2 linked regions of the Notamacropus eugenii genome follow. Each later gene encodes a partner of the first gene's protein in a complex. Links are inferred from orthologs where the notes say so. Each region holds a gene or a part of one and is shown on either strand. Other genes may lie near its edges.

The links. Proteins that work in one complex are often made in the same cells at the same time.
Region 2: BRD8 (region 1) and EPC1 share a complex: the UniProt entries of both Homo sapiens proteins name them as parts of the nuA4-related complex. The link is inferred for Notamacropus eugenii from reciprocal best matches to the Homo sapiens genes BRD8 and EPC1.

The regions. Positions count from the first base shown.
Region 1 is NC_092872.1:365,308,738-365,316,109, reverse strand, and holds the start of BRD8 (bromodomain-containing protein 8), read left to right. Parts: upstream 1-4,261; 5' UTR 4,262-4,373; coding exon 4,374-4,464; intron 4,465-4,972; coding exon 4,973-5,069; intron 5,070-6,940; coding exon 6,941-7,010; intron 7,011-7,372. Other genes in the region: kinesin-like protein KIF20A, read right to left, coding at 74-268, 567-714, 798-985, 1,087-1,225, 1,828-1,947, 2,044-2,130, 2,474-2,641. UniProt on the Homo sapiens protein: May act as a coactivator during transcriptional activation by hormone-activated nuclear receptors (NR). Isoform 2 stimulates transcriptional activation by AR/DHTR, ESR1/NR3A1, RXRA/NR2B1 and THRB/ERBA2.
Region 2 is NC_092874.1:72,575,567-72,583,570, reverse strand, and holds the start of EPC1 (enhancer of polycomb homolog 1), read left to right. Parts: upstream 1-4,996; 5' UTR 4,997-5,295; coding exon 5,296-5,448; intron 5,449-8,004. UniProt on the Homo sapiens protein: Component of the NuA4 histone acetyltransferase (HAT) complex, a multiprotein complex involved in transcriptional activation of select genes principally by acetylation of nucleosomal histones H4 and H2A.

The DNA of each region.
Region 1 (7,372 bases):
CCTCTAATTTTTACTCCCCTTCTTTCTCTTTCTCTTTTTTTAGTTACTTTCCTTGACCTCCAACTCTCACTACCTTTTACGTAGGGATTGCCATTTTGGTCTTCACATAGCCGGAGTGTCTGCCTCTTTCGCTGCTGGCTGGGGGGCTCCAACAAGTCAAAGATCATCTCATTATAGATCTCAAAGAAGGAGATCCAGATAGAGAACCGGACATCAGCTGGGACACAGAATGGGGCAGTATCTGGCTCAGCCCATCTACAAGATGTGTCTGTGGAAGGTACAATAAATAGTCAGCTACAAGCCTAGCTTTGATCATCATGCTTGCGTCTCAATAGCAAAGAATCACCCTGGGCTTTCACTCCTAATAACAGTAACTCTGGATTTCTACAGAAGAAAATGTACTTGTAGAGGTAAGTTTAAAAACATGCCTTTCACAAGGACTTCTTACAAGGGTTTGATTTTTTTTTTTTTCAGTAAGGGGTAAAGACAATGTGAGGTGGGAAGGAGGAAAAAATAGACTGTGTTCACTGAAATGACAAAATTTTCTTAAAGTTAAAAAAATATACCCTCCATTTGGCTGAGGCTGACACTGCTTTGGCTAGTCAAATGGCTCGTAGAAGAGAGTCCAGCAATGCCACTGTCAAAACTGGCACTGTTCCCCAGCGGTAGTGATTCAGTGTTGTGGCTTTTCTTCAGAGAGTTTATCACTTCCTCCTAGAGAAACCCCAAGAGAAAATAAATACAAAGATTTCCTCGGAGTACTCCTGCCCTTCATTGATGCGATTCTGGGTACTGACCTCACGAGAGCTGCCATTCAGCAGGGCTGTCTTCTTCATCTCTTCCTGCCTCACCTGCTTGCTATCTAGCCAAATCACTTCATTAGCAAAAGAAGGCTTCAAGTCAGAGGCTGGGTAGAGCTGGTTTCGAATACTATTGAAGATCAGAGCCAGAGAACGAGGTAGGATCCCTCCATCCTTGTTGCTACCTAGAAACATAAAAAAGGAGAGCTGAGTGCTAGCACTTGAAACGCTAAAAGATCCTTCTAGAAACTCACCAGAATTTCATGATGCTTTGACTCTCACTCACCCTGGACAGTATGGGTCTTTCCAGAGTTAGTCACTCCATATGTATAAATGAGCCAGTTGTAGCCTTTGAGCACATCTCTGACCATTTCTTTCACTGTCAGGTTGAAGAAAGATGCCTGTCCTACTTCTGGTCCAAAGATCTAGGAAGAATACAGTTCCTTGAAGTCTCCTCCTTGTTTTTAACATAGGTTCATTTCCACCAGCCTAATCCCTACCCCTGAAAGTCAGTTCCTCCCATAACTCTCTATTACTCCCCAGACCTATTTGGTATCTAAATACTAAACAATAGCTGTTTCTCTTTTACTCAGAAATCCTGAGGGTCTTCCCCTCCCAGTTTGATTTTTTTTTTTTTGGATTAAAGGGGCCATCCTTTGAGTAACTACTTAACATTGAATGGGTGTATCTCACTCAAAGTGAGGATGTGATAAGACAGGACCAGGATCTCCCATTGTATCCTGATGAATATCAGGCCACTGGACCCAGATGGCTCAGAAGAAATAAGGCTGGTGACCTGGCACAGCCCTCCCTCACTCAAATCAAAGTCAACTGCAAGTCATGTCATCATCTTTATGTCATGGTCTTCTTTGAGAACGAAGGACAAACGCAACAACAATTACTCCCCAGACCACTATGGACTCAACAACTTTATGGATCTTCCTCTTGGCAAACATATAGAAAAACATTTTCCCACTGGTTATACATCTCACTGGCAGCCTTGTTGAAAGTGCTTCCAGCTTGATACCTGGGAAAAGGTGAATCTATGAGTGGCTTGGCCCACACCTCTCTCATTGCTTCTCATAGCAAAAGAGTCCTTGGGTGCCTGCAGAACAAGCGTTTCTGGGTTTTCGATTCGAACACAGCCCTAGCAAATGAAACATACATAAACATGTTAGGAGAAGGGGGCAGTCTCATTACCCTTTTATATCATATCATAACGTGTGCTTCCCAAGGCACTCACCTGTTCTTGTCTCTCTACCTCTGAAGGCAGCAGGGGTCGGACTCTCAAGTATACTTTTACCTTCTCTGCACCATCTTCAGGTACAACCTGTGGCAGAAACCCAGCCAAGAGCCCCACTGATTAGATTAAACAACTACCTCTGAGCCTGAAATCATAGCAATCACAGGATTACTCAGCAGACACACTAGGGAAGTCGTATAGACCTCCCTCTACTGCTACACTCATGCTAAGAGACTGAAGAAAAGTCATTTGTCCTCCTCTCTCAACATCCTCCTTCCTCCTAAGACCTAACCCACAAACGTGCAACAAAAGCCAGCACGTTACCTGCACCAAGATGAGGGTGGGGAGGTATGCATACCTCTGCATGAGGGCGTGCGTGGGAATGGCTAGGAGGGGATGCATGAGTGGGCGTCATCTCGCTGGACTTTACCTGCTCTTTGTCCTCTATCGGGGGAGGGGAGATGGCAGAGAATTCCGACAGCAGGTCCTTTTGGATCCCGACTCCCAAATCAGCAGCAGTGGATTCGAACACGGGCGACACGACGATGTCCTCATCCGAAAGGAAGCCGACAGGCGGGGTCAGGATACCCCGAGACATGACCACGGTGGCGCGTTCCTCCTGGGAGAGGAAAGGGGCTTCAGGGAGAGGGTACGAGCACCTTCCACACCTGAGGTGGGAACCCGTTCTTCCCTCCATTCTCCGCTTTCCCAGACCCGGGAGAAGGCTCACTCCTGGGAAAGCCTCGGCCCCCCGAACCACCGACCCACACGTGAGCTCCGGCTCTAGCTGCGGGGAGATACGGAGACCCCCCCCCCTCATCCACCGGGCCTCGGAGAGGGGGCTCGCAGCCCAGCCCCTCGCCCCAGGCAGGTTATTAGGGAAGCCGTGGCCGAAGGGCTCCGGGGTCAAGTTCACCGGTGAGAGGCGCCCGCGAAGGACCAAGCCGCGGGGAGTGCAGGCCTTTACCCGTTAGCGCGAAGACTTTCCCAGCTCGGCCTCCAGTACCGGAACTCTCTCCGGGTTCCCCTGGCGCTCCAGGTCTCTACTCTCCCAGGGTGAAGAAGACGCCGCTGGCCGCCGCGTTCCTCCAGCCCCAGCTAGCCCTGCAGCCCCCAGCCCAGCTCCGCTCCACCCACGAGGGGCAGCTTTGTTTCGGAGGCAAGGTTTCAAACGACGCGCTCTGCTCTGTCAGCCAATCCGGCGGCGAGATCACATCCGCCAATCATGGCGCTCAGAAGGCGGGCAGGGTTACCAACCGTCGCTGCGTGGGCCTTTGGGCTCCGGGCTCCGGGCCAGGGCTTCTGCCCGCCCTTAAGAACCCCCGACAGCCTGTCCCCCCATGAAATGTGAAGGGAAACCCAAAGGTGAGGCCATCATCCCTCGCCCTACCGTTTTCTTATCCAGAAGCTTGCCCGAGAACTAGAGACTCCTCCCCAACTCTACACCACCCACCCCAAATAAACTCCATTTCCCAGAGGGCATCTGGTTGTGTGTGGTGTCAACTCAGGGCTCGCACTCCATTTCCCAGAGTCCTTCGGGGCGCAGTCCGATAAGGACCTGCCTCTTCTCGGGAAGGGGGAAGAGTCGGGGCCAAGATGGCGACAGGGACGGGCAGTGAGTGTCTGCGCTGCTCGGGGATGGGCCGCTGCGGCGGTTGTGGCAGAACCCTCCCGACCGCCCCCCTTCCCGCTTCCAGCTCGAGGGTTGGGATTCGCAGAGCGCTGGGCCTGGGGGCCCTGTGAGATCGCGCTAGGCGAGACTCGAGCTTGCCGAGGGGGCCGCCGAAGAGGGCTTGTTTATGGAGGGGCCTGGGTCGTGTGCGGAGCCCCAGGGGGAGGGGGCGGGGCAGCGAGGCTTCGAGCGCCGGAGAGACCGGTGGATGGAGGCCTCTATCTGCCCTCGCCCCTCCCTCCCTGCCTCCCCCGTCTGAGTGCCGCGTTCCCGCAGCTTGGGCGGGGCGAGGCCTCCTGCGGCCTGGTCTGCGGGGAGCGGCTCAGGTTTCTTAGTGAGGCGTGTAGCGCGGGAGCCAGGCCTGCCTTGTGCGTCTCTGCGGGGGGGGCCGAGCTTTCTATCCGGAGTGGCGTAGACAGATTTTAGAGCTGGGAGGGCCGCTTAGACGTTAGGCGGCCCACCCCTCTTTTTTTTCCCCCCGCTTTTTGAAAAACAACAACGTTCCCTGCAGTGGAAAGATTATAAGGCTCGGATTCAGGAGGCCTGGGTGCTAGCCTGGATTTGATTACTGTCATTTTTTAGACCTATAGCTTGCGATCTTTAGGCCTCAGTTTCCTAAACTGTAAACTGAGAGGTAAAAGAGGCGTTGGTGGACCAGATGCATTGTGGTACACCTGAAAGAGTCCAGACTATGGAGTTAGAAGGGCTTGGGTTCAAATCCCAGCTCTGCTGCTTACGAAGTGTGAGAGGTAGTGGGCAAATGATTTAGCCTCCTTTTTTTTCAACTGTAAAATAAGGCGATTGGGCTAGAACCAGGGGCTTTTAATTTGGAATTTATGGATAGGGCCTTAAATAGATTTCAAGAAGGTTTTGAATTTGGATTAAAAAATTGATATTTGTTTTCCTTGATATTTGATTTCCTTTTTATTTTATGCATTTAAAAAATTCTGAGAAGGGGAGCCAAAGGTTTCTCCAGACTGCCAAAGGGGTCTGAGACACAAAAAGTTAAGAACCCCTGGACTAGATGATTTCTAAGGTCTTACTCAACTGCTTCTTTACCTTATTCTTAAGGTGGATTGTTGAGATTTGAAGGCATAGAGCAGGTCCTGGTCCACAGTGGGTTGCTACCCAATTTTTGATGTAAAGAGTTGTATTGAGACCAATCTGGTTTAGTTCACTTGATTGGAATAGTGTTAGACCTTTGCCTGGGATTGGTGTCTTCTCAATGGACTCTCACTGAGTTTCCTCTTTCTACAGAACACAAGCTGCTGAGTACTGGCCCCACAGAACCCTGGTCTATTCGGGAGAAGCTGTGTCTAGCCTCCTCTGTCATGAGGAGTGGAGATCAAAACTGGTAAGATACTTGGGATATCAAATGTAGGATAGCAGGAGCTTGGGACATTGAAATTATTGGGAGGCTTTCCTGTACTCGGGGGTTAGTTGAGCCATAGGAGCCAGGAGATAGTGTAAATCCTTAACCATTATCTCAGACTATTGTGAAGTTCCAGGGGAGTAAAAGAGAAGGGTCTTGAATCTTAAGATTTAGTTTAGCCTTTTTGTGATTTTCAGAAAAGAATGAGCACCTTCTTGACTAATTGTCTGCTCTTTCTGTTAATAGTTAAAATACAATTTTTAGAATTTTTTTCTTCCTCAATCTGATTCCAATTTTGGAGTTATACCATTAGTTTAAATGAGAACTCAGTCACTCATTAAGTAGAAGATATTGTTCTCTACAGGAAACTTTGCTTGCTTTCTGGTGTTTACCTGGGCCCTTAGATGGAATCTTGTAATGAAAAACTTGAGAACTGCTTCCCCTGTATTTGTAGAAGCATGTCCAGTGGTGGTAGAGATTAATATCAGTCACTCTCTACCTTGTAAGTAGCAACAGTTCAGGAGCCATCCCTTATCTTCATAATGTAATGGAAAATCTACTGACCTTGAAGTCAAAAGATCTGGGCCTGATTTCCTGCTTAAATGAATATTGATGAACTTGGTGACCCTGGGCTTAGTTAAAAACCACAGCTGTGGTACCTCCTAATCTAGTGGTGCCCTACTTATGAACACATGAAGTGATTCCCGGGTATCTGTCTGTAAATCCATACGTATAAAAGCATTGCCTTTCGTTCCAGAAGCTCCTGTGTAATGGTTGTAAATACGGGGTATTTCAAATATATCCAGATGCTTCAGGGATTAATAAAATGCCAGTTGTAGAAATGTTTCTGATTTCTTCGTATCTTTTAGTCATTAGGTAATTTCTCAGTCATTATATGTTAATGTTAAAATTAATGTCACAAAAAAGTGGATTTATTTTACATTAAAAAGGGGTCTTCAGGTACAAAGCCTAGTAACGACTGCCCTAAATCTGCAAGATGGGATAATGGTACTTGTAAACCCCCTATATTAAAAGAGTGTTGGGAGGCAATTGCTTTGGAAACCGGAAAGCACTATGTAAATGTAAGCTGTTACACATGGGGGTGTGATGGCGCTGTTGGCTGTTGTTGATGCGCATCGTGCATCGAGTTGAGAGTGTAATGTGGTGCAGAGACGCTGTGTTTGTTTTTGGGTAGTTTTGGTCCGATCAGAGGCTGAATCCTAGTTCTGTCACCTTTGTGTAATCGGGGCAAACCCCACTCTGTGAGCTTTAGTTTTCTCATCCTTAAAAGGAGCATGATAATACTTGTATTATTTGCCTCACAGGGTTATTGTGAGGAAATTTCTTTGTAAACCCTCAAGTGATAACAGAACCAAAGACTAGAATAAACAATAAACTGTGCCAGTTTGTTAAACCCAGCATACTCATATATTTAACTTGACTGCAGTATAAAATCCAACCCAGCTTTTCACAAAATGTCTAGTGAAGTAGTTTGAACTGACACTATACTTATTTATTTTTAAGGCATTTGAGTCATAACAATAAGAATACTGACACATTCCCCAAACTGATAGAGCATTAGGTACCTATTCTTTCTCTTTCTCATCTAGAAGTTCTACTGAGGAATGTTCTTTTCATTCTAAATGACTTTTACGTTGTTTATTTACTCCCATATTCAAAGTCTGTTCCTTCGCTGTTCCTAACTGTACTCCTTTTGGTTTTAAAAGTGTGGCTCCTAACCTGTGGACCTGAAATTACCAGCATATCTTTTGTCCTCTCATGATGGAGTTTTATAGTATGTTGTGGTCCAAGACTGATGCTTTGAAGGTCCTTATTTTTTTCTTTTTTTGTAGGGTGTCAGTTAGCAGAGCAATCAAGCCCTTTGCTGAACCTGGCCGACCTCCTGACTGGTTCTCTCAGAAAGTAAGCTCCAGGGATAGTGTCCTTCTATAGCAGTCTTTCCGTACCCAGTCCTATTAATTTAACCGGAAGACCTTTGCCTTATTGAGAGAATTTAAAGTTATGCACTTTTACTGTAGATCAGTGAAAATTGCCTTTTATTTCCTTGTTACCCCTCCTTCAAATTTACCTGTTTGTATTGAGGGTACTACTATTTTTCCATTTACCCAGTTTTACAGTCTTGGGTCCTTTTTTTTTTTAATTAACTTTTTTTTTTCAATTAACCAAAATCTAACATCTCTCTTTCCCACCACCAACCATTTCCCACTGAAAAAGAAGGAAAAATGAAGCCCTTTTAACAAATACCTTAAAGCAAAACAAATTCC
Region 2 (8,004 bases), on another chromosome or scaffold:
GTGATTAATAAATGTGTGCTGAATGACTCCTGAGGTCTCTTCCATTCATATTTAATGTCTATCTAACCTAGTAGCCTGCATACAGTAGGTTCTCAAGAAATGTTGTGAACTGATACAAATTCAATATAATTATACAATTCAATATAATAATTTTTAAATGTTTCTACTAATGTGCATGATTTATAATTCTTAAATTTTAGTTTTCAAAGATACCCTTTTATTTTTAATAAATTAATCATTGGAATTTAATTTTTTTAAAAACTCACCAAATAGTTCTTTTATCAAGTACTAACCAAAACATTGTTAAGAGAAAGGTGGTTCTATGGAAAGCCTGATGAATTTAAGGTCAAGGGACCTGAGTGTGAATGCCACATCTGGCACTTAACAAGGTGTATGACTTGGGAAAGTCACATCTTCTTTGGGCCTCAGCTTCCTCTTCTATAAAATGAGGCGTTTGACCTTACATGTCCTCTAAGATCTCTCTCAGCTCTAAATCTATGATCTATGAAAAGCTGCAACCAAAATATCATAATGCTTTCCAACCACTTAATTAATTTTTCATAAAAGCCAGCAACACTTTAAACTGTTGGTTTCACTTGGCAGACAAACAGGCATGTAGATCATAACAAAAACCAAGACTATTTTTACTAATTGAGTAATACCATCATCTCAGTCAATATTCAGTTGTGGGGTTATTTTAATGTCTCAAATTACCGTCTCTGTATATCTCACTATTCTTTCCCATCAACAACACCTAGAAATAGCCGCATTAAACATTACTACGCTGGTCTTTACCTCTATTAACCTTCTTTTTCATCAGTTTCTTGCAAGACTAGCAGGATGGAGATAAGTTCATTTACCAGTTTGAGAGTTAAAAAAATGAAGGTTAGGCTTGGAAGTAGCAGAAAATACCCAATCACTCCTGATTTTTTTGGTCTAAATTTAAGTGAAACTTTTTTCACTGACTTTTAACTTCACCACAACTTTAGTCTTCAAGTAATATAAAATAAAGTGCTTTGTACTTAGACAGCTTTTTATCTCAGAGGAACTCAAAGCATTTTATTGCTAGTAATAATTAATATGGACACTCATAGGCATCTCATGTGGGAGGTCAGTGTTTTTCCTCTTTAGAAAATTAAAAAAAAAAAGACCCAGAGAACTTAATGATTTGTCCAACATTAACAATGGAAATTTAACTATAATTAAGATGTCTTAGGCTAGCCCCATGACCCTCTCAAAAGGATTTTTAGAAACTGCAGTTTTGGTACACTTGTTGTGATTACTACATCATTCAGGAATAAAATATGAAACAATAAGTTAACTGCCTTTCCTTCAAAGGAGAACTTATTAAAGTATTTATTGTTTTACAGTCACAAAGTGTTTTACAACTAACATGCTATATTAACTTTTTAATTTTAGGAGCATCAATTTCCCTAAGAATCTTTTTTTTGGAGGTGGGAAGAAGTCTACATTTTCACAAACTAGTCCATCATGGGATTTTAGAGGAGGAAGGCATTGTTTAAAAAAAGATGGATTTTATTTTCCATAAACTAGGGTTTTACAAATAGTGATAAGATTTAAAGTGTGTGTATATATAACATATGCTTATATATATATATGCAAATCAGTCAATTGACAGGCATTTAACAAATGTGCTACTGTGTACTCAGCCCTGTGCTAGACATTTTGGGAGAATATAAAAGATATAGAAGACATGACATCTGCCCTCCAGAAGCTTATCATATTCTAGTTGCAGAGATAAAATATAAGACAACTAAAAAAGTTTTCTACAACTGACTATACAAGTAATAGGAGCTCAGAGATACAAGAGATTATCAGTCTGTCATTGAATTTTTCAAGCTGAAAGAAATCTTGGAAATAAAAGTGTAACCCTCTCCTCTGATAAGGAAATAAGCCCAGAAAAAGTCATTGGTTCACTATGGAGGTTAGACTTGCAATGGACAAGAAGCATTTTGAAAGGGAGACTGAGGAATAAAGGATGGGGGATTGCCAGAGGTGAGAATGAACATAGCATATGCTAATGGCAGGAAACTGATTGTCCTGACCAGCGAGGAGCATGACTTTTCGATGTTAGGGCAGGATGTCTGTAGGGGAGTCATTGTAGGTATTTGATCTGCAGAAGAACAACGAACGTAGTATTTTAGGAATATTAGATTGAGAGAATATTGTTGGATGGGCTGGCAAGAGGACAAGGTAGAGATAGGGAAAACAGGAAGTCTATTGTGGACTTCTAAGTGGGATGACAGTGGGACAGGAGAGAATGAATTGTATCATGAATTGTAGATATATTTTGAAGAAGTAAATGACAGGACCTGGTAACAGATTGGGTGTATGTGTAAACATTGTAAGCATGGTTTTATATATATATATATGTATGTATGTATGTATGTATATATGTACATGTGCACATATATACATATATACACCCACACATATGAGGGTACTTGTCTTTAGGTTCTGTTGGTTTGACTCTTTTTTTCTTTCTTTACTATTCATTAATATTAGCAGAAATCCCAGTTTTGAACTAGAATTAATGTTTTAGGTTTAGATTTTTTTTCATAACTTATGAGGATTATCACTTAAATCATTCATCATTTCCTTTCCATTCCCAGTGCTACGACTTTAGAGCAGACGCTATTCCATTACCCTCCTAACGTTCTCTCTTGTATTTTTCCATAGACCACTTCTCAAGTTATTCTTCTTAGAGGACAGCTTCAGTCACATTAGTCCTTTGCTCAAAGATGCCCAGTGACAACCAAATCGAGTCCAAATTCCTGATGTTCAAAGCTATCTGAAATTGGATATAACTCTTTTTTAGACTTACCTGTGAGCAGTTAGCCAGATATGGCGCTCTAACAAGATCAGACCTCTTGCTTTCCCCCAAACATGCATTGCTCCTTTCTTCCATAAGCAAACATCCTTGATCTCATCCCCACAGCTCAACTTCTTGACCCCTTATGTATCCTTCAAAACTAAGCTCAAATGCTACCTTTTCCATTCAAGTTTATCTTGGTCTAAAGTGATCCTTTCCCTGTACTCATGGTACTCATTACTGCCTTGTGTTGTGTGTTGTATTATCTCCCCTACTAGAGTAGTCATAAGCACCTGGAAGTCAGAGATTGTCTCTCTCATCTTGGTATAATAGCTGTCATGTATATATTTACAAGGAATTTCCTTCATAATAATTCTGTGAGGTAGATAACACAGTTCATCCATTTCATGGATGAGGAAATGGAGACAGAGAAGTGATTTGCTCAGTCAGAAAGCAAGTGTCTTTCCTTGGTGCTTTTGTATTTTACGTAACCCGTATGAAGCGCCTTGCATGTAGTCTATATTCTGTATATATTTGTGGGGTATATACTTGGGAATCAGCAGTAGCTGTTTTAAGGGGATTTACCTGTCTAAAGGAGTCATCATATTTGTTTCTGGAGGAGGAAGGATTTTTGTATAAAGTGAAGGGAAAGCTGACTCTGCTTTCTTAAGTTTGTTGAATCAATATTCGTTATATTAGCATCCTCCCGCTGGAGGGAAGTAGCGGCTATTGCTGTCCCCAGGATGGGCTAGAGCTAACCCAGGCCAGGAGGTAGCAATTTGCCCATTTGCCCATTTGCCCTCAGCCAGTGGTTAACGATGCCGACCGATCGTACTTATCTTGACGTGATGTGGGATGTACAGCCGGGGGAAATGGACTGAGAAGACGTTTTTGTGGAGTGAATGTGGGGATTTCTCTGCAAGACCAATCAGCCCATCCCGGACCATTTTAAACTGGGAAGGCTCTTGGAATCCCTATTCTGGCGTCTGGAATAACCCTTAGAAGACGAGTTCGCCTGCGTCTCATTCATAAATGACTAGAGGCGCTCGGGCTCTTGCTGTTTCAGCTGCAGAACGTCTTTTACGACCCTTGCCACAAATGGCATTTATTTAATGTGTGTAAAATGTTTTAGAAGAAAGCCTCCTAAACAGGACGAATGACCGTCCGTCACGGCCACTCGGGAAACAGCCTCTTCTTCTACCACCGGCGGGGAATCAGGACTTCGCGAAAGCCCCAGCACCGGGACAACTGGGGGAGAGGGTCCCGGCTTCGGCAAAGAGGAAACCCTTTCGGAACGTCCCCGTCCCGGTTACGTTCAGGATTCCCCTCCTCCGTCCGGTTCCATGTGCGTCTACCTCCCCGCATCTGCAGATAAAACAGAATGAAGCCTCGCGCGGGGCAGCCGGGTGTTTAATATTGACGCCCCAGCCCGGCGCGGCGGCGGGGTAACGGTGCCCAGGGCCGTGCCCCCCAGCAGGGGGGCGGCTCCTCGAGGGCAGCCCGTGTAGACGGCGCTGACTTCGCGACCGTTTGGTTTGCAGAGAAGCTCGAGTGGTGTCGGGGCGCGCGCCCGCCCGCGCGTGTGTCGGTGTGTGCGCGCGTGTCGGTGTGTGTCAGGGGGTGTGTGCGTGTGTGTGTGTCAGGGGGTGTGTGCGCGCGTGTTCGCGCCGCCACCTCCGTCGCGCCGGGCTTTTCTCCCCGAGGCCCCCCAAGTTGCCGGCCCGGCTGCAGGAGCGCGCCCCGGCCGCTCCGAACCATCGAGCTCTCGGCGGCTGCCCTCCCACGGCAGCAGCGGGCGCCGGGGCTCCGGGACGGGGGGCTCCGGGCTGGAGGAGCGGCCGGGATGGCAGGGGCCCCCCGGAGCCCGGCGGCGACCGGCCCCAGCGCTCCCGCGGCTCTCCGGGAAGCCTCGGCCGGGAGCGGGGCAGCCCGGGGTCCCGGCAGCGCGGTCCCCTCCGGACCGCGTCGGGCGGGAGCGGCGGCCCCGGGGCGGGGGAGGACCGGGGGGAGGAGAGCGGAGCAGGCAGCGGCGGCGGCGGCGGCGGGAGCAGCCAGGAGCCGGAGCCGGAGCCGGAGCCAGCCTGGGGAGCAGGGGTTGGCGGGGGCGCGCGCAGTCCGTGCCGGCGCCCGGCCTCGAGCCCGCGCTCCCCCCCTCCGCCGCGTGCCCGCGCCGCTGCGCGATGCAGTGTGGGGAATGGCTGGGGTTGGCTGAAGAGCGCACAGTGGAGTTTTAATGTCCGCCATGTTGGCCATGGCGTATTGAAGAGAGCGAGTGAGAGCGGAGCGGAGCGGCACAGGCACCCACCCTCCCGGCTGCGGTGAGGGCCCGGACGGCGGGCCCCACGCTCCGCCCCTCCAGTCCCCGGCAGCGGCAGGCGAGTGGGGACCGAGCCCCGGGTTCTCCATGATCCCGCTGGCCGGGGCCGTTTCCCCAGAGCGGAGAGGTATCTGCTGCGCCTGAGATGAGTAAATTGTCGTTTCGGGCGCGGGCGCTGGACGCCTCGAAGCCGCTGCCGGTCTTCCGCTGTGAGGATCTGCCCGATCTGCACGAATACGCCTCGATAAACCGGGCCGTGCCGCAGATGCCCACCGGAATGGAGAAGGAAGAGGAGTCGGTACGTGTAAACTCCCCCGCCCGACCCACCGCCAGGCCCCGCTCCCCCTGCTGCCTGCGGCGGCCACGGAGCAGTCAGCCCCACACAAAATGGCCGCCATCTTCTCTTCCCCGCCGACGTTCAGTCGCCGGCCCGGCCTTTACCCCGACTCCCTCGGCCTCGACCCCCGGCCCGCCGCGGCCCCGCCGGGCCCGCACCGGCGCTGCCCACCGCCGCCCCCCCCTTCGGCCGCTTCCACCCGGGACCCGCCGGGTTCGGGGGCCCGAAAGGCACAAAGGGGGTCACGTGACGAAGCGGCCGGCAGCCATTTTGTGGTCTTTAGTTCTTGGGTTGGGCCTTGTGCAGCGAGAGAGGGGAACGGGTTGGGGGGGGCGACGGAGGGGGGGAGCGGGGAAGGAGCGCCCGCCTGCAGGCCTCCCGGCTCGCCGCTGGGTGGCGCCGCCAGGTCGTCGGGGCCCTCTGGCCGCTGCCGTCGCCCGGGCCGCACGCTCGGGGATTGTGCTCGGCCGCTCTGGCCGGGAAAGCATTTCCGTTTCTAGGCAGCTCCCACGTGGGGCCTGTGGGAGGCCCGTGTTTACTGCAGGCCCCCGGAGCTCCTGTTTATTCTCAGGACCGACTGCGCCCCGCTTCGTCCCGTCCCCGGGAGCCCCTCGGAAAGGCCGGGGTTGCGCGGCCAGGCCGGAGGTCGGTTAGATCCGAGCCCAGGACCCCGGCCCCGGGTCGCCTCTTCCCTCCCCACTCCCCGGAGCGCTGCGGGTAAAAGCCATGGCTCCTCGTCCCCGGCCGAGCCTCCCGGAGGAACGGGCTGCAGGTTTGTCTGGGCCGTAGGGCTCGTTGCTCGCGAGGAGGGGGCCGGCGGAGGCGGCCGAGCCCCGCGGGGGTGGTGCCACCCCCGGCCTCCGTGCCAGGGCTCCGGTGGGGCGAGTTTCTGGGTTCGGAACGTTGTCCCTCCTGCTGCCTACTTACCATGTGTATTTTTGTTGTTGTTCTGGGCTTCATGGAAGCACAGGCAGAGCAGAAACTGTTCTTTTTTTAAAAAGTTGGGTTCTGAGGGGAGGCTCCTTAGACTCTCCTCTCTGCTCCCCCGCCTTCCCCTCGTTTTTCACCGCATAACTTGATGCCTTCTAATCCTAAGGAATTGCATACCTTGGTTTTCAGGTACAGCCACTTAAAACAGGGTGCAGTGTAATGACAATTCCAGGAAGTCCACGAAGCACACAATACCGCAGTTTGTGGAACAGTTGTCCATTAGAGCCCAGTGCTTCTAACAGACTTGTGTGTAACTGTACTGCAATGACTTTCCTTGGGACTGTAACATGAAAGATGAATTGTATGGTGGTGATTGCTCATTGTAATGTTACTCAAACAATAAAAACTGATGAAATTGTTTTGGTTGCTTAGAAAGTTAATAAATAGTTGTATCGGTTGAATGTTAACTTTTTTTGAAAGAGTAGTGTCAAATCTATCACATTTTCATGTGCACTGAAGGAACCTAGTGTAGTGTGAGGCGTGAAGCTTTCACTGACTTTCAGCACCTTCTCTGTGAGACAGAACCTCTTTAATTTTTACTTGTGTTAACTTTAGAGTAGAATAGTGCAATTTTTGTTTTGGATAAGTGATTTTAAAAAATTAAAATACTTGTGACCGCAGTATCTTGTCTTTTTGTTTTATTTTTATTTGTATGTAGGCTTTGAAAATTATCTGTTGTGGGAGGGGGTTAGTAGATGCTAGTATTACACCTGTTTAGATGCAAGTAGCTCTGTGGTGGAACCAAGAAGAAAGACCCTTCATTGCTTTATTTACTCCATAGGTAATAATCCTTTCAGGAATGTCTTGTGAATTAAATTTAGGCATTTCCAGGAGTGGCTCAGTTTTGCTTGTCTTGACACTGACTGCTTAAGTTGGCAGTATATTTGATTTTGCATTTAAAGTTTCAAATTTATGAGGGAAATTACATCCGTTGCAACATGCCATTTCTGTAGATTTGATGTATGTATTGCATATGTGTAGTTGAAGGCAAAATTCTGTTTACCATTTAAGTTATTTTTTCCATTTACAATTCGAAATTTGTTAGATTTCACTAACCAGAGAGAGAATGGATGTTAAAATAAGAAGCCAAGCTGAGGGGAAATGACAGCCACTAAAAGAAATTTTATACCAGAGCTACTCTTGATCTTCAGGTCTTAGTTTCCATATTAAGCCCCTAGACCAAACACTTAAGTGATCAGCACTTATCTTATGCTTTTAAATTCCTTTATAATATGGGGAAGTGAGAAAAATCTTTCATTGACATCTAGTTTTAGGCGCTTAGATACTACAGGTTAAATTGAATTGGGACCCTCCAGTACTATTTTCATGACAAAAAAAAAAAGAAACAATGTAGATTTACTTGGTAATCTGAAAAGAGTTTTGTTTACCATTAAACCTATCAAAAATCTGTCACTTAGACTAGGAACATACTGCTGCTGTAAATGTAAGCAAAATGATTCCAGCAAATACAGGTCAGTTAAATATACTACTACATAGCCATGCTCATTAAATGAATGGTGGGGGTAG